4 linked regions of the Struthio camelus genome follow. The protein of the gene in region 4 binds, or shares a complex with, the protein of the main gene of each other region. Links are inferred from orthologs where the notes say so. Each region holds a gene or a part of one and is shown on either strand. Other genes may lie near its edges. The genes, in order: MYSM1, RBM10, KIF11 and KAT2B.

Region 1 (7,121 bases), on a different chromosome or scaffold from region 4:
TTTTAGGGCTGTTTTTGTCAAGAGACAGAGATACTGTGAACATTAAGTGCAAAAAAAAGATAAAGAGAAGAGTTTGACCCTTATTTGTAATAGTAGTTGTAATAGCTGAAATAGTAATAGTTGTAAGTGTAGTTGCAATAGTATCACACAATACAACACAGAAAAAAAATATTCTCAAAATAAAATATTCTAAGATTTTAAATCAACCTTATTGTTTGAAGACTGACATGGACTTTAAAACCATTAAGCAAACCTCACAATTTGGATACGATTAAGACAGATTAGGCAACAAAGATGGAGAAAAAGTACAAAGGAGCACTCACGTCACCTACATCAGGCACCCAAATTCAGCAGTTTAGCCTGTCCCTTCCCCTCAGAATTGCTCCACCCCTTAATGTCTCTTTCTCTCTCCACTGACTGACTACCTAAGAAGATTCGGTTTCCCATGCCTAAACTTTGTATCTGTGACTAAACCTGGTTGTTGTCAATACACTGTAAGGAAGCTAAAGACTTACGAGGGTCAGAGGAAGCTGCAGGTAGCTAGATAATTTAATGCAAGTGTCTTCCCTGACTTCTGCAAGCTACCTACAAGATACCAAAGCTTCAGTTACATTCACAAGTAGAAGATTTCTCTACTTCCTTTTTAAACAGAAAGGTGTCTGTTGTCCTGCACACAAACACACAAGCAAACCAACAAAAGGATACTCTTCTTCCAGCAACATTTTCTCAATAACAGCCCTATTTTCTTCACTAATGCTGCTGTCCAACGTCCACGGCTGCAAACAATACAAATATTTTTCAATATTTCAGTTCTGCCATGATGTTATACAAGCATCAAGAATTAATGTATAATAGCTTCCAAAAGTAAGCAACAAATACTTATTTTAAAGCAAAGGCAATTATAGCCTGAGTCGTCTGTAGAAAAATAGGATTAATAATCTAAAAGAGCACGCACATGGAGGGAAGAGAAGGGAGAGAACAGAGACTGTGAGCACCTTGCTAGAAGAACCATTCATTTAAAAATTACTTACGAGATTGTTATCAGTTCTCCAAGATGAATCAAGATAGTGATCCTGCAGCAAGCTTGAAGCTGTATTTTCATAATCTCTAAAGAAAAGATTCCAATGTTCAAAACATTACAAACATATTCAAAGAAACTGGATGCTTTGTCAGAATTAAAATAAATATGGAGCTAAATAAAGTAACTATTAACAGAGGCAATGACAGAATTAGACTCTAAAATTAAAGTTGTATATTGCAGACTGTTACGTAAGGTTACTCTTTTATAATATTCCATAAGACATAGCATAAAATACCACAAGTAAACGATCTTTAGTAGGACTCTCAGCAGCAACAGCTCACCTATCTCACTGCAGACTGTATGACATACCAGTAAAACCCTGAATGGTAAAAATCCTCATCTAGGAAGAATGAAAGCAGGAGGTGAGAGTGGAGGAAACCAGCTCATTGTAAAAACCTCGTAACACATACACAAACGAAAGAGGCAAGAATTTTGTGGACAATTAGAGAACTATAGCTTTAATCTTAAAACTGTCATTGACTTGTGCTACCTCCACTTAACATTTCTGCATTTTCCCCCTCTGTAAAATCAGAAGACCCCTTTACAGAGAAAGGGCTGTTACCTCCAGAAGAAGGCTGATACTTACACAGGGCTCAATAAAATCCCGTCGCATGTAATTATTTATGTTCTGACTGACTTCATCCAGATTATGCTTGATCTTTTTAGGTAAATAACTACTTATTACTTTAAAAATCTAGCACTGATTAATGTCATTGGATCAACTTCCCACTACCTTACTGCGGTGTAAAAACCTCCTTAGCACTTCACATAATTACCTGTTTTCAAGATCTTTGCTTCGAGAACATTCAGCCTTTTCTAAAGAGTAGTTAGCCCTATATCCCTTGCAATGTTACTAAAAATAATTTAATTACTATTCTGAACTGCTCTGTCCCACCAGGTCAAATGCCTCTTTATAGGGAAGAATTAAATCCCTGCCTACAGCAGGAAACCAATATAAATTCCAGCTTCTTGTAGAGCATATTAAAAAAACGGGTTGGGATCAACAGTGCGTCTTGCTGAGTGTTTTGTCCCCAGCAGCAGCAAGAGGAGGTGCTGCTTCAGGAGAGCTTGCGAGTCCGACTACTTTCCCTGCTCCGTTCCCCTCATCTTCTCCCAGCATCCGTAATCGCTACATTAACAACATAAGTGCACTGCTACCCACTCACTTCAGTGTCTGCTGAGGGATCTATCATGCCTGAATCTGTCAAATCATTTTTTTGGACCTGCCTGGGACTATCCGCTGCGACAGCTTCTGTGGATTTTAGGTTCTGGATGTTTGCTGTTAGAGAACACGGTGGTACTTCTTTTTGGAGAGGACGAGGGAGGATCTATACGTTTTAAGAGTCTCCTAAAAGTCTGACCAAGTCTGACAGTCCCGGCTCAAGCACTGTGGGATTTGGCGAGGACAGCTGTGCATTCACCCCACCGTAATGATTTCCGCAAACCCCAGTCCTGCCCCCACCTCCTCCTCCCCGAGGGGCCCCCGTGTCTCCTCGCCAGGCTTCGGCCCTCCACGGCCGAGGCCGCCCCCTCGCGTACTGCCCCCGGGCGGCAGCCGACCCGCCCTGCCGGGGGCGCCGCGATGCCCCCCCCCCGGCCCCACCACACCGCTGGTTTCACCGGCGGCTCCGCAGGCCGCGCTCGCCCCTCACCGCCCCCTCAGGGCGGACCCCGGCAGCGCCGGCCGTCCCCGCGCGGCCAGCAGCTGCCCCCGGAGGCGGGCTACCCCCACGGGGCGTGGGGGGGGGAGGCTGCCCGCTGCCCACGGCGGCGACAGCCTCACTCACCCGGGCGGCGTCTCGCCGGGTGCGGCCGCCGCGTCCCCTTCGATGTCCACCTCCGGCTCCTCCGCGGCCGCCATGGCGCCGGCCCCGCCAGCTCTCGCGAGAAGCGGCGGCGGCGGCGGCACCGCCCAGCGCGGCTGAGCATGCGCGGAGCGCGGCACGGCGCGGCGCATGCGCAGCCCGGCCAGCCGGCCGACCGGCGCGGCGCCCTGAGGAGACGCTAGGGCGGAGGCGGAGAGATGGTGCTGGGGTAGGCGGGGCGCGCAGGAGCGGGGAGGGGGCAGCTGAGGGCAAGGCGGGGGCTGGCGGGCGGTTTCCAGGCGAAAACGACGGGGAAACGGGGCGGATCTCCGGCAGCGGAGGGGAGCCGGCAGCGCGAGGCCGGAGGGGGGCCCGGCAGGCCCGGGCGCCTCGCGCCCTTCCCGCCTTCGCCGCTCTCCCCTCAGCGAGCCCTCTCGCGCCGGCGGCCGTTGGAGGCCGTTGGCGACCGTTGGCCTTCGGCAGTGTGAGAGCGGCCGGGAATAAAAGCGGTTCCCTTAGAGGTGTTTGCTATGCGCTGACCCCAGAGAGGCGTTATTTTGGTGTCAGTGGAGGATGCCGGTAGCAGGGCCTTGTACAGGCTACTTCTAAAGCGTTGTAACATGGCTATAAAAATCACAGATTTCTTCTCGTGCGCTTTCGGGCCGATGTTTGATTTCACAAGAATCATTTTGCCCTTCATGGTAATTGGGTATCCGATCGTGATGAAGGGAAAAGCAAAGAGCTGTGGGGGGGTCGATTATCACGTTGAAGAATATGGCCACTGAGAAGCTTCCCTCGACTTAAGAAAGTGTTTCTATTTTAAAAAAATTGCAATGCAAATACTTTGTTTTGAACTAATAAACTGTATTTTTCAACCTTTTTATTCTGAACGTTTCATCTATGTGCTGGAACTGATTTGAAAGTGAAACTAATAAACAGCAAATACAACAATTTTTTTTTTCATTATCCCTACTGAAAAATGTAAAAGTAAGCAAAGGATGTAATGAAAGATGGACTGAAAACTAATATTTTTAGTCCTACGATATGCAAATGCCATGTGATAGCGTATAATACAGGGGTGTCTGAAGAGGGGCCAATCCAATTTTGAATGTCTGTGTATTATGAGTCCTGAAGTCAGCATAATTGAGTTAGCACAGCTGTGGACCTGCGCCACTCCACTGGTTGGTTTATACTGAACCTTATGGTAGGATTTGCTGGGGAGGGGGATCTGGTAAATGTGTCAGTGGGTGGCTTCTGCTCCCCAGCTAGCCCAGAGAGTGATGCTGTAATAGCATAAACCAAACTAATATTTCATTAGCATCAAAAAAGGCAGTGCTGTTCAGCCATTTACTGCCATGCTTCTCCACTTTGTTTGGTTATAACTGTGGGATGAGTTAGATCAGCTCACCCATCAAACCTAGAGCTGTAGTGCCAAAACAAAGGGAGTGGGCATGCATGACTGGATTGCAAGGGAGGGCATGATCAATCCCTTTTGGCAGCACCCTGCAGTTAGGTCTGAAACTAACTGCGGTGTTACCAAGTCCAACGTTTCTGTGCTCTGTATGCTTGTGGATATAGATATGTGCTTATTTGTAATAGGTGGCTTCGTACAAATGTGATGTTAACAAACCTTTTACCTAAGCTATCCGTACCGGCTACTATTCACAGAAATATGAAAAGTGAATTTCTATCGCTTTTTTAAAAAGTCTTGATTATACTAGAGGGGGTCACACACAGTGTGTTTAAGATGGATGCTTCAAATAGGTTCCAAGTATGAGATTTGTGAGAAAAGCAAGAGAGAATCAATACCTAGAATAACAGCATGTTTAAGATCCTTTTTTCCTTGGCCACCTTTGATTACTAACGTAATTCTACCAGTCCTTACTCAATGATACTGGACAGCAGCCTTATCCAAATTACATTAAATAATAATTTAAAAGATAATTTTGCATTTAAATGTATTTAGGAGTTTTTGCTCTATATGCTCATTTTGTTATTAACATTTTCTTTTTCAAAAGTGTTACAATTTGAGCCTGATTTTCTGTTTTGTTAATTTCTGCTACTTGCAGTGGAGTCTTCTTTAGACTATTAGCAGCTTGTAAGTTTGCTTTTTCTCCTTGTGACCAGTTTACAAGGGAACTTACAGCATTCAAATGACCAGCCTTGCAGGCACAATGCAATGGAGTATCCTTGCTGCTGTCTAAGGCATTAATAGCTGCCCCTTGGCTCAGTAATAGATTTATCAAGTCACTGTGTCCATATTCTGCTGCGATATGTAGTGCAGTCTTTCTCCAAATATTTCTTTCATCAATATTTTTATTTTTCCCTGAGGTCAGAAGAATTTTTACAATCTCTGCATTTCCTTTGATGGTTGCATAGTGCATTGGAGTACATCCATCCATGTCCTTAACTCCGGATCTGCCTTTTTTGGCTAACAGAACTTTAATGCTACTGAGATGTCCTCTCATAGCTGCAGTGTGCAGGGGAGTCTTTTTTTCTTTGTCTTGTGCATTGGGGTCAGCATTAGCATTCAAAAGCAGCTCTACCATTGTGTTATCTCCCCTTTCAGAAGCAAGATGTAAAGGTGATTTTGACTGCTTATCCTTAACATGAACATTGGCTTTGTGGTGCAACAGCTGTTGAGCAACATCAGTGTTACCTCTTTGACTCGCAATATGCAGGGGAGTAACTAACTCTTTAGTGACGGCATTAATTTTGGCCCCAGCATCAACTAAAATGCTAACTAGTGCTCCTTTATTATGAAGGGCAGCAACATGGAGTGGAGTTTCACCTGCCTGGTTCATAACGTTAGCTTCCATCCCTTTGTGTAAAAGTAGATTTGTGATGGAAGCGGCCCCAGCTTGAGCTGCCAGGTGCAAAGCTGTGTCTGAAGCAGGAGTCTTTATTTCAAAGTTAGCACCCTTTTCAATTAGAACTTCTGCAGATTCAGCTTTGCCTGTTTCACATGCCATGAGTAAAGGAGTATACTGCATTTCATTGTAGGCGTTTATATCTGTGCCTCTGTCAACTAAAGCTGCTACAATACCATGCAGATTTTTCTGTACAGCTTTGAAAAGAGCTAACTCCATTATGTCAGAGGACAAGCCTTTACAATAGTCTAGCAGTGTTTTGAAAATGGATGGGTGGTTGCTGTTGCAGGCTCTTTCAGTCATTTTGGAATCAACACTGGCTCCAGCCTCTAGCAGTACTTTTGCAGTGTTTTCAAACCCCTGAGAGACAGCATAACTGAGAGCTGTCTGTCCTCTTTCATCCTTTCCATCAACAGAGGCGCCATTCTTTAAAAGCGTTTTTGCCAGAATGCTCTCATCTTTAAGAGCTGCCATGTGCAAAAAGTTGTGCTGGTTCCTGTAGCTTCTTGCCTCTTCTTTCAGGAGCGTCTTCAATATGTGACCGTGGTTATTCTGTGCAGCCAAATGAAGTGGTGTCTTGCCTTCTCTGTCCAAACTATACATACAAGCGCCACATTGGAGAAGCACTTTCACTGCATCATCGTGGCCTTTCTCAGCAGCCCTGTGCAGTGCTGTTCTTCCTTTCTTATCCTTCACATCTCGCCTAACACCTTTGCTAATCAAATATTCCATTACTGTTAGATGTCCATTAGCAGCTGCAATGTGCAGGAGTGTTTCACTTGCAGAGTTTAGTGCATTAATATCATTATCTTTCAATGTTTTCTCTAACTCAGAAAGGTAGCCTTTAGCTGCTGCATCAAAGATGCCAATATCAGAATGATCTTTCTTAGGTTTTGCTGCTGCTGAAAGTTCAGTTTCTTTTCCTTTCTTCTTAATAGACCATTCTTGCTTTCTTCTTCTAGGACGCTCTCTTTTTTCTTGGTGCTGTTCACTGCGATTTTCAAGCCAAGCCTTATCTTTTTCAGTTAAATACCCTACCAATTGTCTTCTAGCATCCCCAATACTTTCGTTTATTTCGCTGACATATTTTCTTATCTTGTTATAAAGTTTTGGCTCCACTTGTTTTAAACATGGGTAAAAAAAGAGCCTGCAGGCTCGTTCACCATGAGAAATTAGTATATCTAAAACTCGAGAGTTCTTTTCTTTTCGTGTCCTATAGAAAGTCATGACTATCTTTTTTTCTGGTGTAAAAATGCCATTGTCTATAAGCCAGTTCAGAAGATTGTCTGGATTATTTATGCCTTCTACTAGCTCTTCTTTTTTAGTTCTTAGGACTTCAATTGCATATGGATTTGTAAACAGGCT
Region 2 (7,545 bases), on a different chromosome or scaffold from region 4:
AGGCGTCCGGGTGACCCCCCCCCACAAAGGGCCCAGGCGTCCGGGTGACCCCCCCCGAAGGACCCAGGCGTCCGGGTGACCCCCCCCCGAAGGACCCAGGCGTCCGGGAACCTCCCACAAAGGGCCCAGGCGTCCAGGTGACCCCCCATGAGGGGCCCAGGTGACCCCCTAAGAGGGGCCCAGGCGTCCGGGTGACCCCCCCAAGGGACCCAGGTGTCCAGGAACCCCCCCCAAAGGGCCCAGGCGTCCGGGTGACCCCCCCCACAAGGGGCCCAGGCGTCCGGGTGAGCCCTAAAAGGGACTCAGGTGTCCGGGACCCCCCCCAAGAGGGGCCCAGGCATCCGGGTGACCCCCCACAAGGGGCCCAGGCGTCCGGGTGACCCCTAAAAGGGACTCAGGTGTCCGGGACCCCCCCCAAGAGGGGCCCAGGCGTCCAGATGTCCCCTCAAAAGGACCCAGGTGTCCGGGACCCCCCCCCCACAAAGGGCCCAGGCGTCCGGGTGACCCCCCCTGACGGACCCAGGCGGCCGGGAACCTCCCACAAAGGGCCCAGGTGTCCAGGTGACCCCCCATGAGGGGCCCAGGCGTCCGGGTGACCCCCCCCGACGGACCCAGGCGTCCGGGTGACCTCCCCCACAAGGGGCCCAGGCGTCCGGGTGACCCCCCCCCCCAAAGGGGCCCCAGGCCTCCCCCTCCCCCCCACCCCGCCCCGAGCGCGAGGGGCCCCGGCGTCCGGACCCACCTGGGGGGGCCCCTCGGGGGCGGCGCCCCCGTAGCCCCGGTAGTCCATGTCGCCGTAGTCGTGGTCCCGCTGGGCCCGGCCCGTCATGGCCGCCGACGGCGACGCTTCGGGCGCCCCCCCGTAGCGCCCCGTCCGGTCGCCCCGGCCCCCCCTGGGGGCGACCGGAGCGTCGGGGGGGGGGGGACCAAACCCTCCGGGCGCCCCCCCCCCCGAAACCCCCAGGTCCATCATGGCCTCCCGGCGTCACGCCTTTTGCGGTCCCCCATGGCCTGCTCCAGCCTCCATTTTGTCTCCCCCCTCTGCGTCCCCCATTTTGGGTCCCCCCTAGCCCCGGCTATAGGGTTCCCCCCACTTTTCGGTCCCCCCCCCATGTCGCCCCTTTTGGGTTCCCCCCCCTCTGTGGCCTCCATTTTGGGTCCCCCCCCGGTGCGTCCCCCGTTTTGGGTCCCCCCTAGCCCCCGCTACGGGGTTCCCCCCGCTTTTGGGTCCCCCTCGACCCTTCTGCGTCCCCTCTTTTGGGTTCCCCCCCGCCCCGTGCCCCACGTCCTGTCCCCTTTGGTGTCCCCCCCCCCTTTTTGGGTCCCCCCCCTTTTTGGGTCCCCCCCTACCTTCGCTCGTACTCCATGGCGCTGGCGTCACCCCGCTGGCACCTGGGGGGGGGGGACGAGGGGGGAGATGGGGGTAACTGGGAGAGACTGGGGGGCAACTGGGGGGGAACTAGGGGGCGTCAAGGGCACCGGGAGAGGCAACTGGGATGGACTGGGGGGGCCGCGGAAGAGACTGGGGCACGCTGGGAGGGTCGGGGAGGGCAACTGGGATGCGCTGGGGGGCCAACGGGGGGCACTGGGTGGATTGGGAGGCAACTGGGAGGGAAAACGGGGGGCACTGGGTGTGTCTGGGGGGCGACTGGGATGTACTGGGGGGCAACAGAGGCACTGGGCAGACTGGGGGGCAAGTGGGAGAGACTTAGTGGCAACTGGGGGGGGCAGTGGGAGGGACTAGGGGGTTAATGGGGGCACTGGGCAGACTGGGAGGCAACTAGAGAGGACCAGGCTGCAACTGGGGGGCAACTGAGATGCGTTGGGGGGGCAAATGTGGGCACTGGGATGGACTGGGGGGCAACTGGGATGGACTGGGGGCAACTAGGGATAACTGGGATGGACTGGGGGGCAACTGGGAGGGACTGGGGGGCAACTGGGGATAACTGCGATGGACTGGGGGCAACTAGGAGGGAAAAAGGGGCAACTGGGGATAACTGGGATGGACTGGGGGGCAACTGGGATGGACTGGGGACAACTAGAAGGGAAAAAGGGGCAATTGGGGATAAATGGGATGGACTGGGGGCAACTGGGAGGGACTGGGGGCAACTGGGGGCAACTACAAGGGGAAAAGGGGCAACTGCAGATAACTGGGATGGACTGGGGGGCACCTGGAAGAGAACTGGGGGCAACTGGGGATAACTGGGATGGACTGGGGGGCAACTGGGAGGGACTGGGGGCAACTTGGGGCACTTGGATGGACTGGGAGCAACTAGGGATAACTGGGATGGACTGGGGGCAACTGGGGATAACTGGGATGGACTGGGGGGCAACTGGGAGGGAAAAAGGGAGCAACTGGGGATAACTGGGATGGACTGGGGGGCAACTGGGAGGGAAAAAGGGAGCAACTGGGGATAACTGGGATGGACTGGGGGGCAACTGGAAGAGAACTGGGGGTCAATAGGGGAGAGAGGGGGCCTGGGACCTGCCCCAAGGCATTGTGGGAAGGTGGGGGAACCTCCTGAGTGGGAGCCCCGCCCACTCCTCGAGGCCCCGCCCCCCAATTAGCATACAAGTCCCGCCCCTCGCGGGCACCGCAGGCCGCTCCCGCCCCGTCAAGCCCCGCCCCTCCCCTCCCCCCGAGCCAATCCGGCGCCCCCGTCCCCTGTCAATCAAACCCGCGCGGGCCCCGCCCCGCTCCCCACCGCCAGCCAATCGGGCGGCGCCGCCCCGCCCCTCCCTCCCGTCAATCACCTTCCCGCGCCGGGCGCGCGGCGGCGGCGAAGAGTGTTGGGGGGGGGGAGACAAACAGCGCCGCCGCTCCCGGTGAGCCCCGCCCCCTCCCGGGGAGGCCCCGCCCCCTTCCCCGGGAGGCCCCGCCCCTCTCCCCGAAGAGGCCCCCGCCGGCCCGACCTGTCCGCGCTGCGCCCGCGACACCGGCACCGCCCGCACCCGCCGCCGCCTCCGCCGAGCTCCCGGCCCGCAAAATGGCGGCCGGCCCCCCCCCTCCTTCTTCCTCCCTCCCTCCTCCCTCCCGCCCGCTCCCCCCATTGGCCCGCGCCGCGGCGCGCGCCCGCCCCGATTGGCCGAGGCGCCCCGGGAGGGCGGGGCCGCGGCGGGCGGGGTGAGGAGCGCGCCGCGCCCCCTCCCCGCCCCGCTGCCGTCTGATTGGGCAGCCCCGCGGCCGGCCCGCCCCCCCGCCCCGCTCCGCCGGCGCTGATTGGCCGAGACGCCCCAGAGGCGGGAGCTGGAGGGAGCCGCGGCGGGCGGGGTGAGGAGCGCGCTGCGCCCAGCCCCGCTGCCGTCTGATTGGGCGGCCCCGCGGCCGGCCCGCCCCCCCGCCCCGCTCCGCCGGCGCTGATTGGCGGAGCCCTCGAGAGGGGGTGGGGAAGGAGCTACGAGTGCTGCGCGGTTTCCGCTTCCGGCGGGCAGCGTCATGGCGGCGCTGGCTGGCTGCGGGCGGGCGCTGCGGGCGGCCGGCGCCGGGATGGCGGCCGGGAGAAGCGGGAGGCGGCAGCGCTCGGCGGCGGCGGGCACCGTCAGCCCCGCGGCCGCCCCGCTCGGCGCCGCCGCCGGCCCTCACCACGGCGCCGAGGAGGAGGACGGGATGTGGGCGGTGCAGCGCAAGGTCAGCCCGGCTGTGTCCTTCCCCCCGCCCCCAAGTCCCGGCTCGGGGGCGGGGCCTGGCAGGGGGCGTGGTCTGGGGCGGGGCTTGCAGCGTTCTGAGGCGCCTCAAGGGTAGGGGGCGGGGCCGGGGGCGGGGCTTGGTGGGCGTTCTAAGGGGCCTGAATGGCGGGGGGCGGGGCTTGGTGGGCGTTCTACGGGGCCTGAATGGCGGGGGCGGGGCTTGGTGGGCGTTCTACGGGGCCTGACTGGCGGGGGCGGGGCTTGGTGGGCGTTCTAAGGGGCCTGAATGGCGGGGGCGGGGCTTGGTGGGCGTTCTACGGGGCCTGAATGGCGGGGGGCGGGGCCAGGGTGTATCAAGGTCCTATGAGGGCTGATTGACAGCAGGAGGGGCGGGGCTTAACTCCTTCATTCATTTAATAAGCAGGCTGGGGGAAAGGGAGAAGGGGGAGGTGTGGCGCAGCTGATTGGCTGCGGTGCCGGGTGGGGGGCGGAGCTAAGGGAGTTTTGGCGGGGGGGGGGGTTCTCTTGCTCTGCCCGGACGCCTGGGCCCCCCCCGCCCCCGGGAGGCGCCGGAGCAGGGACCCAGGCGTCCGGGCGGCCGCAGCACCCCGAGACGCACGGCTTCGCCGAGGAGCCGGCGGCCGACGCGCGCAACATGCGGGCGGCTTTCGTGGCCGGCGTCTCCGTGGCCCTGGTGCTGGGCGCCACCTTCCTGCGCTACCTGCCCGACTACGGGTGAGCGGCGCCCGGACGCCTGGGCCCCCTTGGGGGGGGGGGTTCCCCCGGACGCCTGGGCCCCCTTTTGGGATGGGCGCCTGGGCCCCTTTTTGGGGGCACCTAGACGCCTGGGCCCCTCTGGGGGTAGTTCCCGGACGCCTGGGCCCCCTTTTGACGTGGGCGCCCGGGACGCCTGGGTCCCCTTTTGGCATGGGCGCCTTTCGGAGGGGGTTCACCCGGACGCCTGGGCCCCTTGGAGGTTCACCCGGATGCCTGGGCCCCTTTTGGGAGGGCTCACCCGGACGCCTGGGCCCCTCAGAGGTTCACTGGGAGACCTGGGTCCCTTTTGGGGGGGGGGTTCCCCCGGACGCCTGGGCCCCTTGGAGGCTCACCCGGACACCTGGGCCCCTTTTGAGAGGGCTCACCCGGACGCCTGGGCCCCTTTGTGGGGTTTCCGGACGCCTGGGTCCCTTTTGGGGGGGGGGTCACCCAGACGCTTGGGTCCCTTTTGGGCGGTGGGGGTCACCCGGACGCCTGGACCCCTCGGAGGGTCACCCGGACGCCTGGGCCCCCCCCCCACCCCCGGCAGGCTGCGGCAGTGGGCGCGGCGGGAGGCCGAGCGGCAGATCCGGGCGCGCGAGGCCCAGGGGCTCCCGCTGGTGACGCCCGACTACTACGACCCGGCGCGGCTGCCCCTGCCCCCCGCCGGCGACTGACCCGGACGCCTGGGCCCCTTCGGCGCTACGACCGACCGCCTAGGACCGTTGATAACGGCCCGGACGCCTGGGCCCGTTCCTGCGTTTTGGAGAGGGGAAGAGGAATAATAAACGCCCGGACGCCTGGGCCCGCTTTGAGACGCTGCCCGGACGCCTGGGCCCACTTCTTTTTTGGGGGGGGGGGGGAAGAGGGGAAGGAATGCCCGGATGCCTGGGCCCCTGGTTGGGGGCGGGGGGTTCACCAGATGCCTGGGCCCCTGGTGGGGGGTTCACCCGGACACCTGGGTCCCTCTTGGGGGGGGGTTCACCCGGACACCTGGGTCCCTCTTGGGGGGGGTTCACCCGGATGCCTGGGTCCCTCTTGGGGGGGGTTCACCCGGATGCCTGGGTCCCTCTTAGGGGTCACCCGGACGCCTGGGCCCCTTTTGGGAAGGTCACCCGGATGCCTGGGCCCCCGTTTTGGGGGTCCCCGGACGCCTGGGCCCCTTGGAGGGTCACCCGGATGCCTGGGCCCCTTTTGGGGTTCACCCGGACGCCTGGGCCCCTTTAGGGGTGGTGGGGGGGGAGGGTGCCCGGACGCCTGGGCCCCTCCCGCCAGAAGGCGGCTGCCTGAGCCGCTGCCGGGCCGGGTCCGCCCGCCCCTTCCCGGCGGCCCCCGCGCGGCGCGGACTACAGCTCCCAGCAGCCCCCGCGGCGAGGCGCGCGGTGACGTCACCGCGGCCGCTTTTTTTCCCCCGGAGCCCGCCGGGTCCTAGAGCCGCCGCCGGGGGCCGCCCCGGCCCCTCTATAGCCCCTTATAGCCCCCCCTATAGGCTCCTATAGCCCCTTCCCCGGCCACTGCGGTCCCCTAAACCGCCCCAGAGCCCCCTATAGCCCCCATAAGTGCCTCGCAGCCCCTATAGCCCCCTATGGCCCCCATAGTTCCCGCAGCCCCTATAGGCCCCTCGCAGCCCCTATAGCCCCCTATGGCCCCCCATAGTTCCCGCAGCCCCTATAGGCCCCTCGCAGCCCTATAGCCCCCTATGGCCCCCCATAGTTCCTGCAGCCCCTATAGGCCCCTCGCAGCCTCTATAGCCCCCTATGGCCCCCCATAGTTCCCGCAGCCCCTATAGTCCCCCGTTGGCCCCCGCAGCCCCTATAGGCCCCTTGCAGCCCCTATAGCCCCCTATGGCCCCCCATAGTTCCCGCAGCCCCTATAGGCCCCTCGCAGCCCCTATAGCCCCCTATGGCCCCCCATAGTTCCCGCAGCCCCTATAGGCCCCTCGCAGCCCCTATAGCCCCCTATGGCCCCCCATAGTTCCCGCAGCCCCTATAGGCCCCTCACAGCCCCCCCTATGGCCCCCCATAGTTCCCGCAGCCCCTATAGTCCCCCGTTGGCCCCCGCAGCCCCTATAGGCCCCTTGCAGCCCCTATAGCCCCCTATGGCCCCCCATAGTTCCCGCAGCCCCCATAGGCCCCTCGCAGCCTCTATAGCCCCCTATGGCCCCCCATAGTTCCCGCAGCCCCTATAGCCCCCCGTTGTCCCTCGCAGACCCTATAGGCCCCTTGCAGCCCCTATAGCCCCCCATAGTTCCCGCACCCCCTATAGGCACAGCCCCACAACCCCCCGTAGCCGCTACGGCCCCCACGGCCTCTGTGGACCCCACAGTCCTTCAAACCCCTATAGGTCCCTGCAGCCCCTATAGGTCCCACACAGCTTCCCAGCCGCCTCGTTGCGATGAATCACTGCAGCTCTTGCAGCACCTACAGCCCCTATAGGTACCTTTGCTTCCAGAGGTACCATATGTCTGAAGTTTCTATAGGCACCTACAGTCTTTATGCCACTTGCATTGGCAAAGCCTCACTGGACCCTATAGGCTCTGCAGCTCCTATAGCTGCCATAGCTCCCCACGGTCCCCAGTGCCCCCCGCAGCCCACCCCAGCCCCTATAGGGCCCCCCCAGCCCTCAGAGGCCTCTGTAGTTCCCATAGTGCCTGCAGCCCCTATAGCCCCCGTGGCCCCTAAAGCCCCCCCCCAGGGCCCCTATAGGCCCCCCAGCCCCTAGAGTCCCCCACAGCCCCTATAGCCTCAATGGCCCCCAAAGCACCTATAGCACTTGTGCATACCATAGTTAGTATATTCATATAGGACTTCATAAACTGTTACAGTTTATATACTACCTGTAGCACCTATAAGGTCTGCCCAACAGATCAGGCCTTGTAAGTTCTCACAATCCTCTATATTTCCCCATCCCCTATAGCTCCCCCGGACCCTAAAGCCCCTATAGGCTCATATGGCCCCTATGAGACCCCAAAACCCCTATAGCCCCTATGACTCCCTATAGCCCCCCCAGCTCCTATAGGCCCCCAGGGCCCCTATGGGGCCCCACAACCCCTATAGGCCCCTCTAGCCCCCCCAGACCCTATAGGCCCCCTATGGGGCCCCACAACCCTTATAGGCCCCTATAGCCCCCCATGGCCCCCATGACCCCCTATAGGCCCCCCAG
Region 3 (7,777 bases), on a different chromosome or scaffold from region 4:
ACAGAGATTAAACACATCAAACAGTAGCATAAATAAGTACCTTCAAAAAAAGAAAAACTTGCACATGGAAGGAAAGGCAATGGTGAATCAAACTAATTCACTAAAAATTCCTTTTTCTTTTCCATTTGCATGAGCAAGAAAGCCTACATCTCACACTGATGACACAGGAGTGGACAACTTGTCTTTCATCCCTTCTAAAGTACCAGACACGCTAACAGAATTTACTAACAGTGGAACAGCAGAAAACCCTGCCAGAACCTTTATAACGCTAACTCAAGAGTTCGTAACTAGAATTTCCTAGGACAGACAAAACATGTAAGTTAGGTGGGGGAAGTCTACCCAACTTTTTACACAGATCGAGTTGTAAGCACAGGTTAATAGAAATGCAACAAAACATTTAGAAACTTAAGGGTCAGCATTTTGTTTCATCATTTAAATCACCTTTTAAAAAGCCAAATCTGCTGCATACAGTTTTCCTTAAAGAAGCATCAGTAATAATTTCCTCCAAAAAGTCAAAAAAATGACCACAGGATGAAACTAGCAGGATGAAGTGTTAGTTTATTACTCATTCAACAGTGTTACTGCACCGACTGTCTACGCTACCTGTAAAAGGATAGCCAACTCGAAAATAGATTCTTTAAAACCTTCTTTAAAATATCTTGACAGCAGAGGCATTTCAGATGCTGCACCTTTAAATCATCAGAAGAGGCCACAAGTATGCGGCATTTTGAGTTTCCTGACTTTTGTGGCTAACATTTCCTCCTCAATACAGCATTGAGGCTGAAGTGTCAGATTCTACATAAACCACTAGACACTTTTATGCAAGACTGACAGCAACAGTGAAGGCAGTCAGGTCACTATGGTGACAGCAGTCAGGTCACTATGGTGACAGTTGATGATCATAACAATCTTGTTCACAAGGGCAAGTTACAGCTTCAGTTTTGTGACTTTTATAAGAGGAGGAGGCTGAACAACGAATATAGTCTGCTCTGTAATGAATGATGCAGCAGTGAACCAGTCAAGACCGGGAGACCTACCATACGATGCATAACAGTAGGATTACAGTGACAACTCAGTTAAGATAGAGCATACATGCAGGTAGTTACTGTGTGTCACTAGGCAAGCAGCAACTTGGAATGCCATGATAACATTTGATCACATGTTCATCCCACTAGGCAAACCAATCAAAGCATATTAACATACATTAGCACACATACATACATTAGCACACATACATTTTGAGTTTCCAAATTCAGGTTCTTACTGAAGCACAGTGAGTTCCTGCTTGAGAAGGTTTTTGATAAGCTCACACAGATCAGGTTTTGGAAGCAAACACATTTAAAGCAGTATTGAAAAAAGAGCAGCTCTACAAGAGGCAAGAGCAATGAGAGACGAGAGATTTTTAGGGTGCAGAGGCTACATGAAGGTCTTGACATAAAACTCATTTTAAGGTATTAATCTCAACAAAAGCACTACCACCCCTAGCAAGCCTGGTGTGACTGTCATATTGAGCAATGTATTTAAAACATACACTGATACTCAGTGAGGATACTCGAGAACAAACCAAGTCCCAATCAGTTGAAAAATGACTGCTCTTGACAATGCTTCAAATGCAATTGCTTCAAAAACTTTATTCTTTTACAAATTCTTGATTTAAATCAACTTCTTCACCAATCCTATAACATTTGTTTCAGCAGCTTGTTAACTATTTTCACTTTTATTCTCGCAACATATCTTATAATTTCTAATTTCATTGTGCATTTGGAAAAGTAGAGCTTCCAAGCAAAAGGATGTAATGACTGCAAAATGCATTAATACTAACACGTAAGCTAGTATTTGCAGTTCTGGCTCAAGAAAACTTCTGAAGGCATTTTTGAACCTGACTCTCAACATTTTTTTTTTTTAAATTAACTGTAATACTGTTAACGTGTTAAGAGCATTTAAGTTCTAACTTCAGTGAATCAGCCCTCCAAGTCACCTCAAAATTACAAGAATCTAATTTTATGGTACACCAGCTTTCTCATGCTGATAATCAAATTCATCTCATCAACCAAGATAAACAGCAGTCAGTCATTATTACATTAACAGTTGACTCCATAACTTTTTGTCTAAACTCAGGAAATTAGCATCGCTGAAGTTAAACAAAAGACTGAAAAGTGGTTGTTAAATTGTAGTGCCTTCTCATACAAGCTTAGAAGATGATATTTCATCTTCATCATATTTCCTCTTTTCCAGCTCAACTTTATCTTCCCGTATAACTTCATACTGGCTGTGTAGTTGAATCAGGTTAGCAAATCGACACATTTTGCCTTCTTATGCTATGAAAAAAAAAACCTCTTCCGTATAGCAACCTTAATTTTGAAGGGATGTCACTGATCTCTACTGGCTACACGGGTCCGTCACAACGCATGCAATTAATGCCTAGGACACATATTTTAAGGCGCATTAAAGAGTGACGTTGGTGTAAACGACACGCCCGTTAATAATTATGTACTCAGAGAGACAGTATACGGTTCTCTTTCCTCGGAGCCGTTGAATAGTACCTCTGCAGAGCACCTTGCTACCCCGCACGGGCGGCGCTCTGTCAGCCCTCTGTCACAGACCAGGTTAAGCCGGGACGGCGGCCTCGGCCCACCGAGGAGGGCCCAGGGGTGCCCGAGCAAAAGCGCAGGAGGCGCCTCTCGCCTCGACAAGGAGGAGCGTCAGCCCCAGTTCCCAGAGGGTCTTAAAAGGAAGGACCTGAACGGCTCCCCACCAGTCGCTGCGGCAGCGGGGCAGGGGCCGACCTCCAAACCGCCGCGAACGGCCGCTCTCGCGGCGCCGGGGGGGGGGGGGGGCGGGTACGCCGCGCCTACCTGCACCGCACCACCACCTGGATGTTCTTGCCCTTCTCCTCCTTCTTCGCGCCGCCGCCCTGGAAGCTCAGGGAAGCCATGTCGGGCCTCAGCGCGGACCTGCTGGGGGACGAGAGGGGGAAGAGAGGCGAAGCGCCAGCCGCCCCGCGTCGCCCTCGCCGCGCCTCGGGCCCGGGCCAACCGCCGCCGCGCGCCGCGCTCCAGCCGGGGGCGCGCGCTCCGCCGCCGGCTTTGAACCACGCACCGCCCCCCGGGCCCGGCCAATCAGCGCGAGCCCGCGGGGCACCATGGGACTAAGTTTGAAATTTCAGGACGAGGCGCAGACGCTAATGACGTAAGGGCTCAGCGCTTGCGTGCCGACGCACGACGGGAGCGCCCCAGAGCGCACTGCATGCTGGGGGTTGTAGTTCTCGGCCAGACCCGGCGGGTGCGTGTTACGTGTCCAGCACAGGCGCCGCGGCTCGCGAGCGACGGTTGGGCGGGTCGCCCACGCAGCGTCCGGCGCGGCGGCGCCGCCGCTCTCCGCAGCCCTCCTGTCCGGCTAAGGAGCTGAGATCTGTTCTGGCAGTCCCGCCGTGCTAATCCCGCAGCCAGCAGTGTACGAATCTCAACAGAACAGACAAAATAGTAAGAAAATTAGACTAGACTGGACGGGTTTTTGGATTCAAGACAAGATGGATGCTGTGCTCCAAGACGAGCTGGATCGTATTTGCTTTATTACTGACAGAGGCGTGTCTAAAGTAGCGCTCAAGCGTCCAGCGTTGACGAACGCGCGCAGCTTCTCCAAGCAACCTGCCAGCCCCCGCTGTCCTCACCGCTATAAAGTTTTTCCTAACGTCTGACTCGAGCCTTCTGTGCAGCCATTTTTACCATCACTGCTGTCTATGCTCACCAGGGGGCAGCAGAGAAACTCATTGTCGCCTCCTGTGCCGTTATTGAAATATTTGAAGACATCAAAACTTCTCACCTCAATTACCTTTTTTTCCTGGATTACATGAATCGATTCATTTCATCTTCCAGCACAGCTCAGGACTTCTAGTCACTCTTTTCCTCTCCCCACAGGCTCTTCTGTGAGTCCACGTATATTTTTTAAATATCATGCTCAAAATTCGAGAAAGATACTTAGTAGATGCCAGGAAGAGTGGCAGAATTACTTTCCCCGTTTTAAGGATCGTACCTCTATTTACATAGCCAGGCACAACATTCACCTTTTTCACAATAGCATTCTGCTGTTGACTCATAATCAGCTCTGGCCCACTGTAATTCCCCACACATTTGCAGCAGAGCTGCCAACCCAGGCGTTTTCTATCCTGCAACTCCACTTCATTGTTCCTACCTCAAGAATTTTGCATTGGGCCATCTTCGAATTATGTATGCTTTAATTCAGACTGTTCTCCAGTCTCCCGTCCAATTCATCAACATCCCCTTGAGTTCCACACTTCTCAATAGCCCGGTATGGTCTGCATAATTAGTGAGAAAATTCTATTTAATTTTCTGACTCGCTAATGAAAATGAATAGTTATAGGCTTAGGACAAAGCACCATAGAGGCATTACATAGATGCTTTTCACTTTGAAACAGATTACGTGAACCACTCTCCTAGCATCCTCTTACTAGCAGTCTCAACTCAACTATGTCACCCTAGCTTCCTTATGAGAGTCTCATTTGGGACAATGTTAAAAGCTTTGTTAAGTAGAGACCTATAACAGGATAACAGGTCTTGTGGGTAGGAGGGATGAAGCAGATTTTAGAGAAAGAGGGAAAAAATGGTTTGACATGGTTTGTTCTCAACAAATCCATGCTGGCTCCTACAGATGGTCATACCGTCACCTACTTGTTATGGTCTGGAGTATTACAGCGTTGGTTTGGGTTTTGTTTTTGTTCTAGGGCCTTTCCGGTTGCTGAAATTAAGATTACCTGTCTGTATTTCTCAGGCCACCCTAGCCCCTTCTCTTCTTTTTTAAGATGGCTGTTCCCTTTACCCATGACTTTGAAACATGCTACTGCTCTATGAGTTCTTAAAGGTAATATTTAATGAATCCTGACCTAGAAAGCTTGCAGTAATTTTTCTGACAGTGACATGAAGCAGCATCACATTATGCTCCTCTACCATTTATCTCAAAAGTTAAAGCAATGTCAGAGCCAGTCTTATGCTAGGTACAACAAACAATATCTGAGAAATATACACATTTTTATAGAAGAGGACATGAAGTCTTACTTGGTCTGCTCTGATGGAAATTGATGCAGATACCATTAACATTCTAGACACTTGCCTGACACTCTAAAAATGGGCTGATGATGAGACACCAGAGATATGAAATCTTTACAATGATTAATAACAATTTTCATTTCCAGGCCATCTGAGCCAGTATTTTCTGTTGGCTTCCTATAAGACCTTACTGCTTGCATGCCACTGAAAGCGATACAATCCTAAAGTATATATAGCATACAAATATGTTACATAAAAAGAAAATTACTTTGTAAAGACAGATACTTGAAAGTTAGTAGCTGCCAAATTAATTATTGCTCTTCAGCTTCAATTCTGAATCATCTGGCCTCAAGCCAATGAATAAGGCTTTCATTCTATAGCAAAAGCTCGAAACAAAACTCTATCATAATTTCTATACATAGAAAACTAAGGAAACTATAATTTCTAACATTCTTAGTGCTTGACTTTCCAACCTAAATGAGTTTGATGGGTTGGCATTATTAAGGCATACTATTTTCTTCTCTAATGAAACACTAAAGTCACAATAACACATTTTGTCTCGGTTACGGAAAGATTTAACCAAACAGAAAAATGAATATAATACAAAAGCAACAGTAACTGCAAATAAGACCACCATTATTTTTGCACGCTTTATGTATTCTGTATGTTCTAAGTGTACAAACTATTTGCACAGACAGTTGTGTACGAGCCACTACTCAAGCGAAGTAGTCAAATGCAGGTATGCACACATACTGAATCTGTACCTTTTACTCCATACTCCTTCCCAGGGACCATAGAGAAGGCGGCAGCCGCTGAAAGACAAGTCTTTTTTCCCCATTTCTGCTTGTTTGTTCTTTCCCAGTATGAAAGTATGCCAGAATTTGGCTCAGAATATAAGCACGTCTCTCAAAAACACATTACATAAGAAAGTAAGAGATCATTGAAACTTGCATTTAAACAACAGTAATCTATTTAATTGTTGTGGGTTGAATTTGGCCCATAGCTACCTTTGCCATAGCTGTGTTAAGAGGAAAACTGATAATTCTGGTAATCAAGATAGCTTAAAAAATGCATACATAGTTTAACTGGTGTAAATGTATTTTACAAAGTCAATTTACAACATAGACAGAACTATTTCTTAGTCTAGGCTGAGCCTAAAGATATTGATATGCTATAAATACAAATTGAGTAACAGGGAACTGGCATTTCACAACACATAAAAATAAATTAAAAATGAAAAAAAAGAGAAACCAGAACACTTAAGAGAGTCTTAACAGTGATTGGGAAAATGACCTCCCAAGAATACATGTACACCAACTGTGACAAATATATTTTATTTTTTTTAGAGAAAGACATAACATTATAGCAAAATGAATTATAACACACACAAGCATCACTATGATTTCTGTAGAGACTACTAATCACATTTATTGATCAAAAAGGACAATTATTTAGCAAAGCTTAAAGAAAAAGAACTCAGTGTATTATAATGACATTAATAAACAATGAATGTTTCAACAAAATTAGCATTTTCCTAGGATTTAAACAGGATGACCTGGATAACGATAGGTGTGGAAGCCTGACAAATAGTGGAATTATTGACCCTGAACAGGATTAGCAAAGAATTAGGAAGGGTTATAATAATGGAGACATATAATTAATACAAATTATAACTGTGGTTAAGATTTCTTCAAGGCTTAGTAATTAAACAGGTATTAACCTGTTCTGATTACCAACATGGTACACAGTAGATGAGCTGAAATGGGCTAGAAAAGGGTCTCCACGTGCCATTAAAGGTGAAGAATTATCAGCAAGTCAATGTCCTTGTATTCAGTGTTGTAAGAGTTAATTTTGATACTATCCTACTTAATATTCTCAGTGATATAGGAAAAATTCACAGATTGTGTATTTACATTAGAGGGGAGATGAACTGCACCTGATTTACATGTAGAAAGCATACAGAAAGTTAAACCAGTAAGGACTTAAAACACGCAGTCCTGGTATCTTTTTGGCTAGTTAGAAGACAGGGTTTTCCCTCAGTTGCAGTAACATCACACTTATTTCACTGTTAAAAATTAAAGATGTAACAAAATAAAGTAACTACCTCATTGTTAAAAATTAAGGATTCGATCTCTATGCAACATGAATAAAAGTAGAACTGGTTTCAAGTAACCAGCAAGAATACACGGAATGAAGGATGTGTGGGTGTGCTTGCGTGCGTCTGTGTGTGCGTGCAGGATCGCTGTCCATCACAGATGTGGAAGTTAAGTCTTTTACAACTTGTTATGGTTATAGTCACCATAATAAAAAATTAACTCCACAATCAAGGGTGTATACACATGTGTGTAATTACCTCAGAGTAAAGCTAATCACTATGCACTTACTCATTTTCAAAGAAGGCACGCAAGCGGATGACATCCTGTACATAAAAGGACAAGACACCAGGGGAAAATTGCAAACATAGATTAGGTAGAACCCACTGAAGTCAAGAGGAAGTTGGTTTTGCATTATCTTTTGATTTAAATTAATTCATTATTTCTAAACTGAGAGAAGTCAACAGACAAGCCACTTGGGAGTGGGAATTATATAGCATCATCCCATTTACTGAGCTCGTTATCTCTCTCAATGGCTGTATTTCTGTACATATCACACAAAGAGCAGAGAACAGTATTTTTTTCCCTTTCATATTTCAATCTTAAAGCAAGACAAGATGT
Region 4 (7,985 bases):
ATAAATGGACTTGCTCTACGCAAGGCTGGGGTAGTTAAGAAAACCATTAATGCAGAGATAATCAGAGTACACTGAATGGGGTCCCAGAGAACTGCTGAGATCTCTACCACATAGTAAGCTGAGAAAACAGTAAGAAGAGAAAATGATGTTAGATAATGGAATACATAAAAAAGTATGGGAAGGCAGGTGAATGAAAAGTAAACAATATGTCTTATGTTTGCATTAAGCAATCTAGTGCTCTCCCTACCACAAAATGTGGTGTAAGCCTATGCAGCACCTGCAGATAATTAAATATCTTTAACAAGCAGCTTCTGAACCACACACACACACACACACACACACTTCATATTGTATTAGCAAAGGCAGTAATAATATCCTATGCTGCAGGAGCCCAGTATTTAGGTTTTTGCTTGGCTTTTGATAAGTCACAACTTAGACTGGAGTCAAGAAGAGTATGTGCTGTGTAAAAAGTGAATAAAAACTGCAGACTGCTTAATCACTAGCAAGAAGTTTTTGCTTCTTAAACAGACGTGAGTTTGTTTACACAATGACATTTTCTTCATTTTTTTCCCTCTGCTTTTGACTTACAAAAACTGGGTAATTGGGTTGTGAGGTTCCCTATGACAGTCAAAGGCTTAGTGGTAAGGTCTGCAATCCACATTATTAATTTCACATGTAAACTCTGTGGGAAGCTGACAAGATGCTAGAGAGTATAATGAACAAAACTTTTGTGCTGTTAATACTTCCAGTGATTCATAAAATATTGATAGCCTGAATGTGTAGTGGCCTCAAGGGAGGCCACTTAACCCACAAGGAATGTGCTAACGAAAGAATACAATAGGATTTTATACTTATAAATTCCCTGGAGGAGGGGGAAGCACTCTGCTTTTCACAATTGCATTGAAAGGCAAGGACAAAACCAGGTGGGAGCACGGGAGGAAAGTCTTGTCGTGAACAAAAGGAGAGTGAGACCAGTGGTTCATCACACTCGCTCCAAATAGGCCTGGGGTTGGGGGCGAGGGGGACAGATGCATCCCCAGCTGCACAGCTGGCTGCGAGGGCCCTCCCGGAGAGACAGCGTTCAGCATTAGGCAGCTATTAGTTGAATTATTATTCAACTTATGTGGCTGAGATCGGTCCCAAAAACCTCAAATGACAACTAAATAATACCTGGGTGTCAGGCACACCCTAAACCACATTTTAATTTCCTCTTTTGTAACTCGAGATGCCTCTTTTGTAACTGGATATCAAGAATACAGCCATCTGCTTTGCTGGAATAACTTGCATGCTTTTACGTTTAAGCTTGTCTAGAGTTCAGAGTGAATTTGGGCACTAAATGTGCTGTCCCCTGGAAGCACCAAAACCGAACATGAATCTCCTCAGGGCTATCAGCAGCTTGAGACAGGCCTGAGAGTCACAAGACCTGGAACATGTGTCTCATCCAGCTCCAGGCTTGCTTAAATTAACGTATATGAGTAGTCTTCCTGAAGTGGTGGGGCTACTTACCTGAGTTTGCAAGCTAAGTAGCACAATTAGGAAGTAGGCAGCTGTACTTAGCTCCTTCAATGGCTTGCTAAAAGCCAGTTTCAGAATAAGCTGGACTTGTGCAAGCCCATTGACGTGCCCTGAAGGACAGAAACTAAAAAATGTGGCAAGGTTTTTCAGATAATGCTTTGAGTTTAATTTTAATTTAATATTCTCATATTGAATATTTAATGGTGAAAATAAGCACTGGAGTGATTCTGTGCTCAGACTGAGTCATAAATTATAATTGAAATACTTTCAAAATTAGTCAACAGATAAAGTCAGCTTAGATATGAAACTCAGAATGACATGTAGAGTCATATGTCAAAACAGATTTTTTTTTCTGCTTCCCTAATAGAGTGTAATTTGTCATAGCCAAATTATATTCACCAAAGCCATCACTTGTGAACATGGCCCAAGTTATACCCCAGTGTTTCCAGCAACCAAACTATCTTTTCCTTCCTTATTCTTGCCAAAATATTGAACGTAACATTTTAGCTGTCACTGGAACAGTTTAAGGCAAGGTCATGTTAAGCTTTTTTTTTTTTTAAAACTTAATATTTTAGAACAAATGATAACAATAGATTTAAATGAGACTTACAGTTTAAAAAACCAAAAAGGCAAGCTTACCTAACAGCAGTTAAAGAGTGATTTCTTGTTAAGTTGTTCCTTTTTGCAATAGTAGGCAGTTGTTCTGCGTTTGTAGTGAAATCGGTGTTTATAAATGTTACTATAGTAACTGTATCCTTAGCCACAGGCTGGTAGATTTATTGTTCTGATTATCTAGTGAGCAGCAAGGTAAAAAGGAAAAAAAAAAAAAAAAAAGACTGTCAGACATGTTGTAAGAGAGCCACAATCTCACAGGAGGAGATGGCAAAAACTGCAGTAAAAATATTTTTCCCTTCATACTTACCTGCATCCTACTGTATGCCATGCAACAGCCTTTTTTCCACTAGACCCTCATAAACAAACAATGAAATGCAAGCAGAGATCCAAAGTACCAGGCATGTAACAAAAGTCAGTATCAGCTTCATAATGACTTTCATCCTTATTTTATTTCAGTGGAAGTAACAATTTCTCAGGCTTTTAGGACCTCGAAAAACAAGGTGAAAGAATCAGGCTGAAAGAAGGTTTTCTGCCTAGGCCGAGGTCCTGTGAACACTTGCACTCGTAGTTTCATACATAAACACACACTGGGCGGTCGTAAGTGGCGCTGGAACTAGGTGTGCAAAAACAGTAAATGTATTTTAAGAATTGAAATGTATAATTTGTTTCTGTGTGGATGCAAAGTTGATACTGGATTAGATAACATTAGTTTATCATTTAGAGGAGAAGCTAAAACATTTGCCAGCTTTGATGGTTTTCTTTTTTTTTTATTTAAAAAAGATGTTAGGAGACTGCCCGTCAAGGCCATAGCTCCCAGCAAAGCTGGAAGACAATGGCCAGCCATGTTAAGTGGCACACGGAGAGGAATTTGTTGTTACAGATGGGACTATTCACTTCACTTGCAACTGTAGCAGAGCAGTGGGAAAGCTGAAAGCGAAACCAAGCCATTTCATTGCCAAGTCTGGGAGGAAAGTGGAAGAGCGATTGTCATAAAGAAATGCAAGCAAATACATTTAGAAAGTTATTCTGATGACCTCAGGTGGATGTTATCATGCAGCATAATATTTGTTATCCTCAAATATTAGTTGAACACTCTCAAAGGAAAAAAAAATAAAGGTATAATTTAAGAGTGAGGGGTTTTTTTTATTATTATTCGCTCCGAAGGCAGGGTCTGACGTGCCGTCGGCGGCTTCCCACCGCCCCTCCGGGAAGCCGGGCGGGCAGTGCCTCCTCCACCTTAACGGTCTGTCTTAAAACACTGCGGATGGCAGCAGCCATCTTAAGGGTCACTGTCACCCCCCCCGCCCCCGCGAGCCACATCCCTGCTCGGGGATCCCTCCCCGGCGCCGGCCGCGGCGGGGGAGCCCCCCGGCAGCGCCGCCGCTGCCCGCTCCGCGCCGCTCCGCCCGAGGGCGGCCCAGAGGCTTTGCGGCACTTCCCAGGGCGCGGGGGGAGGCGCGCAGGGCTCCGCGCAGGGCTCCGGCCCTCGGGAGCGCGGCACCGACCAGCTCGGACCCGCCTCCCCGCTCGTCACCTTTTGTTCCTTTTAAAACCTCAGCCCCCCCCCCCCCCCCAAAAAAAAGCCCACCCCTCCTCCTCCTTTGCAAATAAAAACGTTGAAACCTTTCAATCTGAAAGGGAACTGGATGCGTCCTTCTGATTTTTTTCGCACTGAATGAAGATGTCAGCTCACCGTTGAGTCTCAGTGGTTGAAAATATCCAGGGAGAAAACGGGGCTGAGGGAAGGGGAGATCAGAGGGAAAATGCGTCCTCAGTCCTCCCCCTGCTCTTTACTCCCCACCTTGCAGAAGCCTCTCATCCTTTGCGCTTGTGTAAGCCAGCAAGGCCCTGCGTTGCTGCGAGAGCTCTTTCATGCACTGGGATTCCCCTCAACGTTAATATTACTGCTTCTGGTTCACACATCAAAGCCCTGTAAAACACACACAAGCGCGGGCAGCCTTAGCTCCAACCTTTTAAACCGTGGTACTGCGTTAGCGAATTGTCATTTGTGGTTTCTCACCGTTCAACCGCGTTTTTACATATGTGCAGCAGGACATAACTTCCTCAGAACTGAAAGGCTTATTTCCAGGCACAGAGTGCAGTTGCTGTGGCAGAATCATTTACTTAATTTGAGCTTCCAATTAAAAGGTAGCTACTTAAAGACATAGGTTGACCTGCTGTTAACACCTGTTCCTGGACAAACAAGAAGCCGCGACGTGACTCCCCCCCGGAACTGAGCAGAGTCTTTATAGTCTCACATCTTTAAAGCCAAGGAGTATTTTTATGTTCTTTGACTTCGAAATAATCTTTAAAAGCAAACAAATAAGAAACCGGAACGGTTTAAAAACAGCTGAGAACTGCAGGGTGTGGAAACGCAATAGTTAAGTCGACAAACTAGTGGCACCGTGAGGGGAAAAACGGGGCTTTTAAAGGACTTGAAGCCAAGGGGGGCCGAAGAGTGCGGCTTCTTCCGCGCCTCTCGGCGGCCCCTTTCCTCCTCCGGTTCCCGGCCGCGCAAGGCCCGCACCGGCGGGGTCCCCCGCGCGCAGCCGAAGCCGCCGCCGCCTTACGCGGGGGCGCACGGCCGCCGCCCGCCCATGCCGGCGCGCGCGCTCCCCCGCGGCTCGGCGCTGCGCTGCAGGGCGGGAGGCGGGGGCCGGCTCCGCGCTCCCCCCGCCCGGCGGGGCAGGAGCCGCCCGCGGAGCGGCCAGTCCCCTCCCTCCCCGGGGGGAGCAGCCGGCGGCGGCGGCGAAGGGGAGGGTCTAGCGCTCGGCGCACCGCGCCGGCAGAGCCGCACGGGCGGGCGGCTCCCGCCGCGCCGCGCCGCTCCGCGCCGCTCCGCGGGGATGGCGGAGCCTAGCGGCGCCGGGGCCGCGGCGGCGGGCGGTGGCGGGCCGCAGCAGGGCTCGCCGGCCGCCGGCGGGGTGGCCGCCGGGGGGCCGGCCCGCACCGCCGCCGAGAGCCCCGGGGGCCCCGGCTCGGCGCGCACCGCCGGCAAAAAGGCGCAGCTGCGCGCCGCTCCGCGGGCCAAGAAGCTGGAGAAGCTGGGCGTCTACTCCGCTTGCAAGGTACGGCGCCGGCCGCTGGCGCCCACCCGCCCACGGAGGGTGGGGATTGAGCCGGCTGGGGAGGGAAGGGAGGGCGGCAGGCGGTGGGGAAGGGCCGGGCGGGGGAGGCGGCGGCGGCCCAGCTGCAGCTCCGCGCTGCCGGGAACCGCGGAAGTGGTGAGGCTGGTGGTTCCTCCTCCGCCCGCAGCCTTCCAGCTAGGAGCGGCAAGAATAAGCCCGAAAGACGCCGAAAACAAGCCCTCGCGTGCAGCACCTCCCTCCTCCTCCTCCTCCTCCTCCCCCTGCCCCTGTCGATACGGGCAGTAGCGGACGTGCCCGTCCCGCTGCCTCCGCCCCAGCCCGGCCCCCGCCGGGGTCGCTCGCACTTGCACCGCTGGGTTGACGGCGCCGCGGCAGCTGCTCGCCGCGTAAACACCGCGCGGGGCCGTTGCGCCCCCTCGCCCCGGGGGAGGGGGAGGCGCGGGGCTGGGCCGGCCTCGCGTCCCGGCGGGGGCTGCCGCCATCCAAATGTCGCTGCTCCGAGCTGGCAGCGTCGCCAGCAGCTCTGGCAGAGGAGCAACGAGGCGCGGCCTCTCCTCTTGGGAAAGTTGTCCCCACTGGTCACGTCGGTGCGGGCACGGAGGCCTCTGTCGTCTCCCGCACTGGGCAGGCCTTCTCCGCTCACCTTAGTGACACTGCCCTGGGTTTCCCTCCCTGCATCTTTCCCTCTGCCTGGAATTTTCTTCCGGAGGGGAGAAGCAGGACTTGACTGTTGTTGGAGATTGAGAGAGCCTGGTCAGAGTTGCAGCCTTGCAGTCTTTGGAGGTCTGTGACCTCCAAACTGGTGTTGTCACCTGTGCACGTGCGGCTGGACTGCACTGCACACGGTGCAGGGCCAGTGCCCTCTAAGCATGGGCTGTCACCTGCGTTACTGCTTTCGTGACTATTCTTGGATGCGTGATGAGTCTGACACGTTCAGGATGGCAGTAGTGTCATGAAATCTTCTAGTAATGCTTTTGGCATAGCAAATAAGTGAGCAGTTTGTGAGAAAGTGTATTATTTACTTTCTTTGCTCCTTTACATCAGAACCCTCAGAAGGGCAAATGTTAAGTGAAAGGCCAACCTAAATGCTTAAATACGTGAGGAAGCGTTATAATATGGCTCTGTAGTCCTGTCTGGTGATGGGAAGTGCTTTAACTGTACTCTGAAAGCATGTTGCAATACTGTAAGTCATGTGAGGTCAAGTCAAGGAAACCACGCACACACTTCAATTTCTTAGCTGTTTACAAACATGCAGGAATCTCCTCTCGGGCTTTGGCATGTATGTGTGACGTTGCAAGAGACCACCACTGTTGGGAACTTAACAGAGCAGTTAGTGTGTTTGAAACCTGAGGTCCCCATAGAAGGATGGGTGACATGGTTCAAAACTTTCTGGTAGTGATTCCCCTCTGCCCCCCCCGGTATTTTAATGTTACCAAATTTTGCTATGCTGTTAAACAATGTTAGACAGGGAGGATGTGAGGTTTTCATGAGCTGTTGAGTGGTGTGTGTGTGTGTTTATGATTCTACCTTTTCCTTCCCTAGTCTGATCTTTTTTCTTTCCTTTATGGATCTCCAGGGGTGGGCACAGAGCTGTGGCAGCTTGTGTTGCAGGTGCTGTGTGTGTGTGGTAGTGTTACCAGCCTTCAGCTCCTGTCCTTCTGCGAGAAGTCAGGGCCGTGTCACTGCTGGCACTGCAGTGAGCTGAGAGTGCGCGACCTGTGGCTAGGGACACCCTGGAGCCTCTTTGTCCTTCCCTGCCAGGAGCCTGGCACAACCACAGAACTAAACACTACCCTGGGTTCAGATTAAAATGCAAAAGCAACCTTTGCTACCTCGCTTTTCTTCAGTAATTTAATAGCAGGCAGCGTTCTTTCAGGTTGCAAAACATAAGCAAGTAGACAAACAGGAAGCTTCTTGTAAACTAATCAAGCGGTTTTTCCTATGGGATAAAGGGGGAAGGATGGAGGAGAGCGGAAGAATGTGTTATTTTTCCTTTTGAACAACTGGCAGGTGCTCCACAACTACAGTACTTGGCTTGTAACGTTAGTGGTTTGCAAGAAGCTGTAGCAGTGCAGGGAATAACTTTGAACTTTCTTACTTTGGGCTGAAACTGATTCTATTTATTTTGTGCGTTTCTGTTTGTGTGTGAGAGAGAGACAGAAATCAAACACTCGCACCGCCTCCAATCTCAAAATAATGTAACTTATGTGTTTATTCAAGGGGCAGCCATGCGTGAGTCTTGTGTAAATATACAAAGAGCTGTTCAGGTTGCAGTGGAGAAACTATGCAGTGCCATCCTTAATGGTGGTGTCCTTCTCCCGCGGGAAACAGGAGAGGAAAACGCTGCTGCTTCAGCACATAAAGTTTAGTAGAAACTTAACCTCTGAGACGCTGAGAGGAGCAGAGGCAGAGAGCGTGTTCGTTAGGGCTGAAGAGAAGCAGCGCCAGGAGATGGGAAGAGGGCTGACACTGAGCGGCAGGTGGCTGGGCCTCGCTGGTGGCAGCAGCAATGTGCTGGGCCAGAGATAAGACTGTCCCGAGCAGGACCGCCGTGTGAGCGGGCTGCTCTGGCCCCAGGAGGGAACGAGCCCCCTTGTCACTCTAGCGATCCCTCTGCTTCAGCCTTTGGGAAGTGCAGGCAAAAACTGCAGGCAGAGACATCCTCGATGTGCATATAAACTCAGCAGAGCTAGACTGAGCATTTTGGAATAAGTTTAGGGAGCTGCTGCCCCAGCCTAGGACTATGGAAGAGTTTTGTTGTCATTG

What was found.
Region 1: KAT2B (region 4) and MYSM1 share a complex: the UniProt entries of both Homo sapiens proteins name them as parts of the large chromatin remodeling complex. The link is inferred for Struthio camelus from reciprocal best matches to the Homo sapiens genes KAT2B and MYSM1.
Region 2: KAT2B (region 4) and RBM10 share a complex: the UniProt entries of both Homo sapiens proteins name them as parts of the large chromatin remodeling complex. The link is inferred for Struthio camelus from reciprocal best matches to the Homo sapiens genes KAT2B and RBM10.
Region 3: KAT2B (region 4) and KIF11 share a complex: the UniProt entries of both Homo sapiens proteins name them as parts of the large chromatin remodeling complex. The link is inferred for Struthio camelus from reciprocal best matches to the Homo sapiens genes KAT2B and KIF11.

Annotation. Positions count from the first base shown.
Region 1 is NC_090949.1:34,090,974-34,098,094, forward strand, and holds the start of MYSM1 (deubiquitinase MYSM1), read right to left. Parts: upstream 3,016-7,121; 5' UTR 2,943-3,015; coding exon 2,869-2,942; intron 1,423-2,868; exon of another isoform or gene 1,363-1,422; intron 1,108-1,362; coding exon 1,032-1,107; intron 777-1,031; coding exon 706-776; intron 1-705. Other genes in the region: CARD- and ANK-domain containing inflammasome adapter protein-like, read right to left, coding at 4,872-7,121. UniProt on the Homo sapiens protein: Metalloprotease with deubiquitinase activity that plays important regulator roles in hematopoietic stem cell function, blood cell production and immune response.
Region 2 is NC_090979.1:733,826-741,370, reverse strand, and holds the start of RBM10 (RNA-binding protein 10), read right to left. Parts: upstream 3,002-7,545; 5' UTR 2,914-3,001; intron 1,393-2,913; 5' UTR 1,368-1,392; coding exon 1,351-1,367; intron 894-1,350; coding exon 743-893; intron 1-742. Other genes in the region: NDUFB11 (NADH dehydrogenase [ubiquinone] 1 beta subcomplex subunit 11, mitochondrial), read left to right, coding at 3,437-3,628, 4,232-4,362, 4,934-5,060. UniProt on the Homo sapiens protein: Binds to ssRNA containing the consensus sequence 5'-AGGUAA-3'. May be involved in post-transcriptional processing, most probably in mRNA splicing. Binds to RNA homopolymers, with a preference for poly(G) and poly(U) and little for poly(A).
Region 3 is NC_090948.1:18,993,118-19,000,894, reverse strand, and holds the start of KIF11 (kinesin-like protein KIF11), read right to left. Parts: upstream 3,014-7,777; 5' UTR 2,936-3,013; coding exon 2,856-2,935; intron 1-2,855. UniProt on the Homo sapiens protein: Motor protein required for establishing a bipolar spindle and thus contributing to chromosome congression during mitosis. Required in non-mitotic cells for transport of secretory proteins from the Golgi complex to the cell surface.
Region 4 is NC_090943.1:42,675,719-42,683,703, forward strand, and holds the start of KAT2B (histone acetyltransferase KAT2B), read left to right. Parts: upstream 1-4,976; coding exon 4,977-5,198; intron 5,199-7,985. UniProt on the Homo sapiens protein: Functions as a histone acetyltransferase (HAT) to promote transcriptional activation. Has significant histone acetyltransferase activity with core histones (H3 and H4), and also with nucleosome core particles.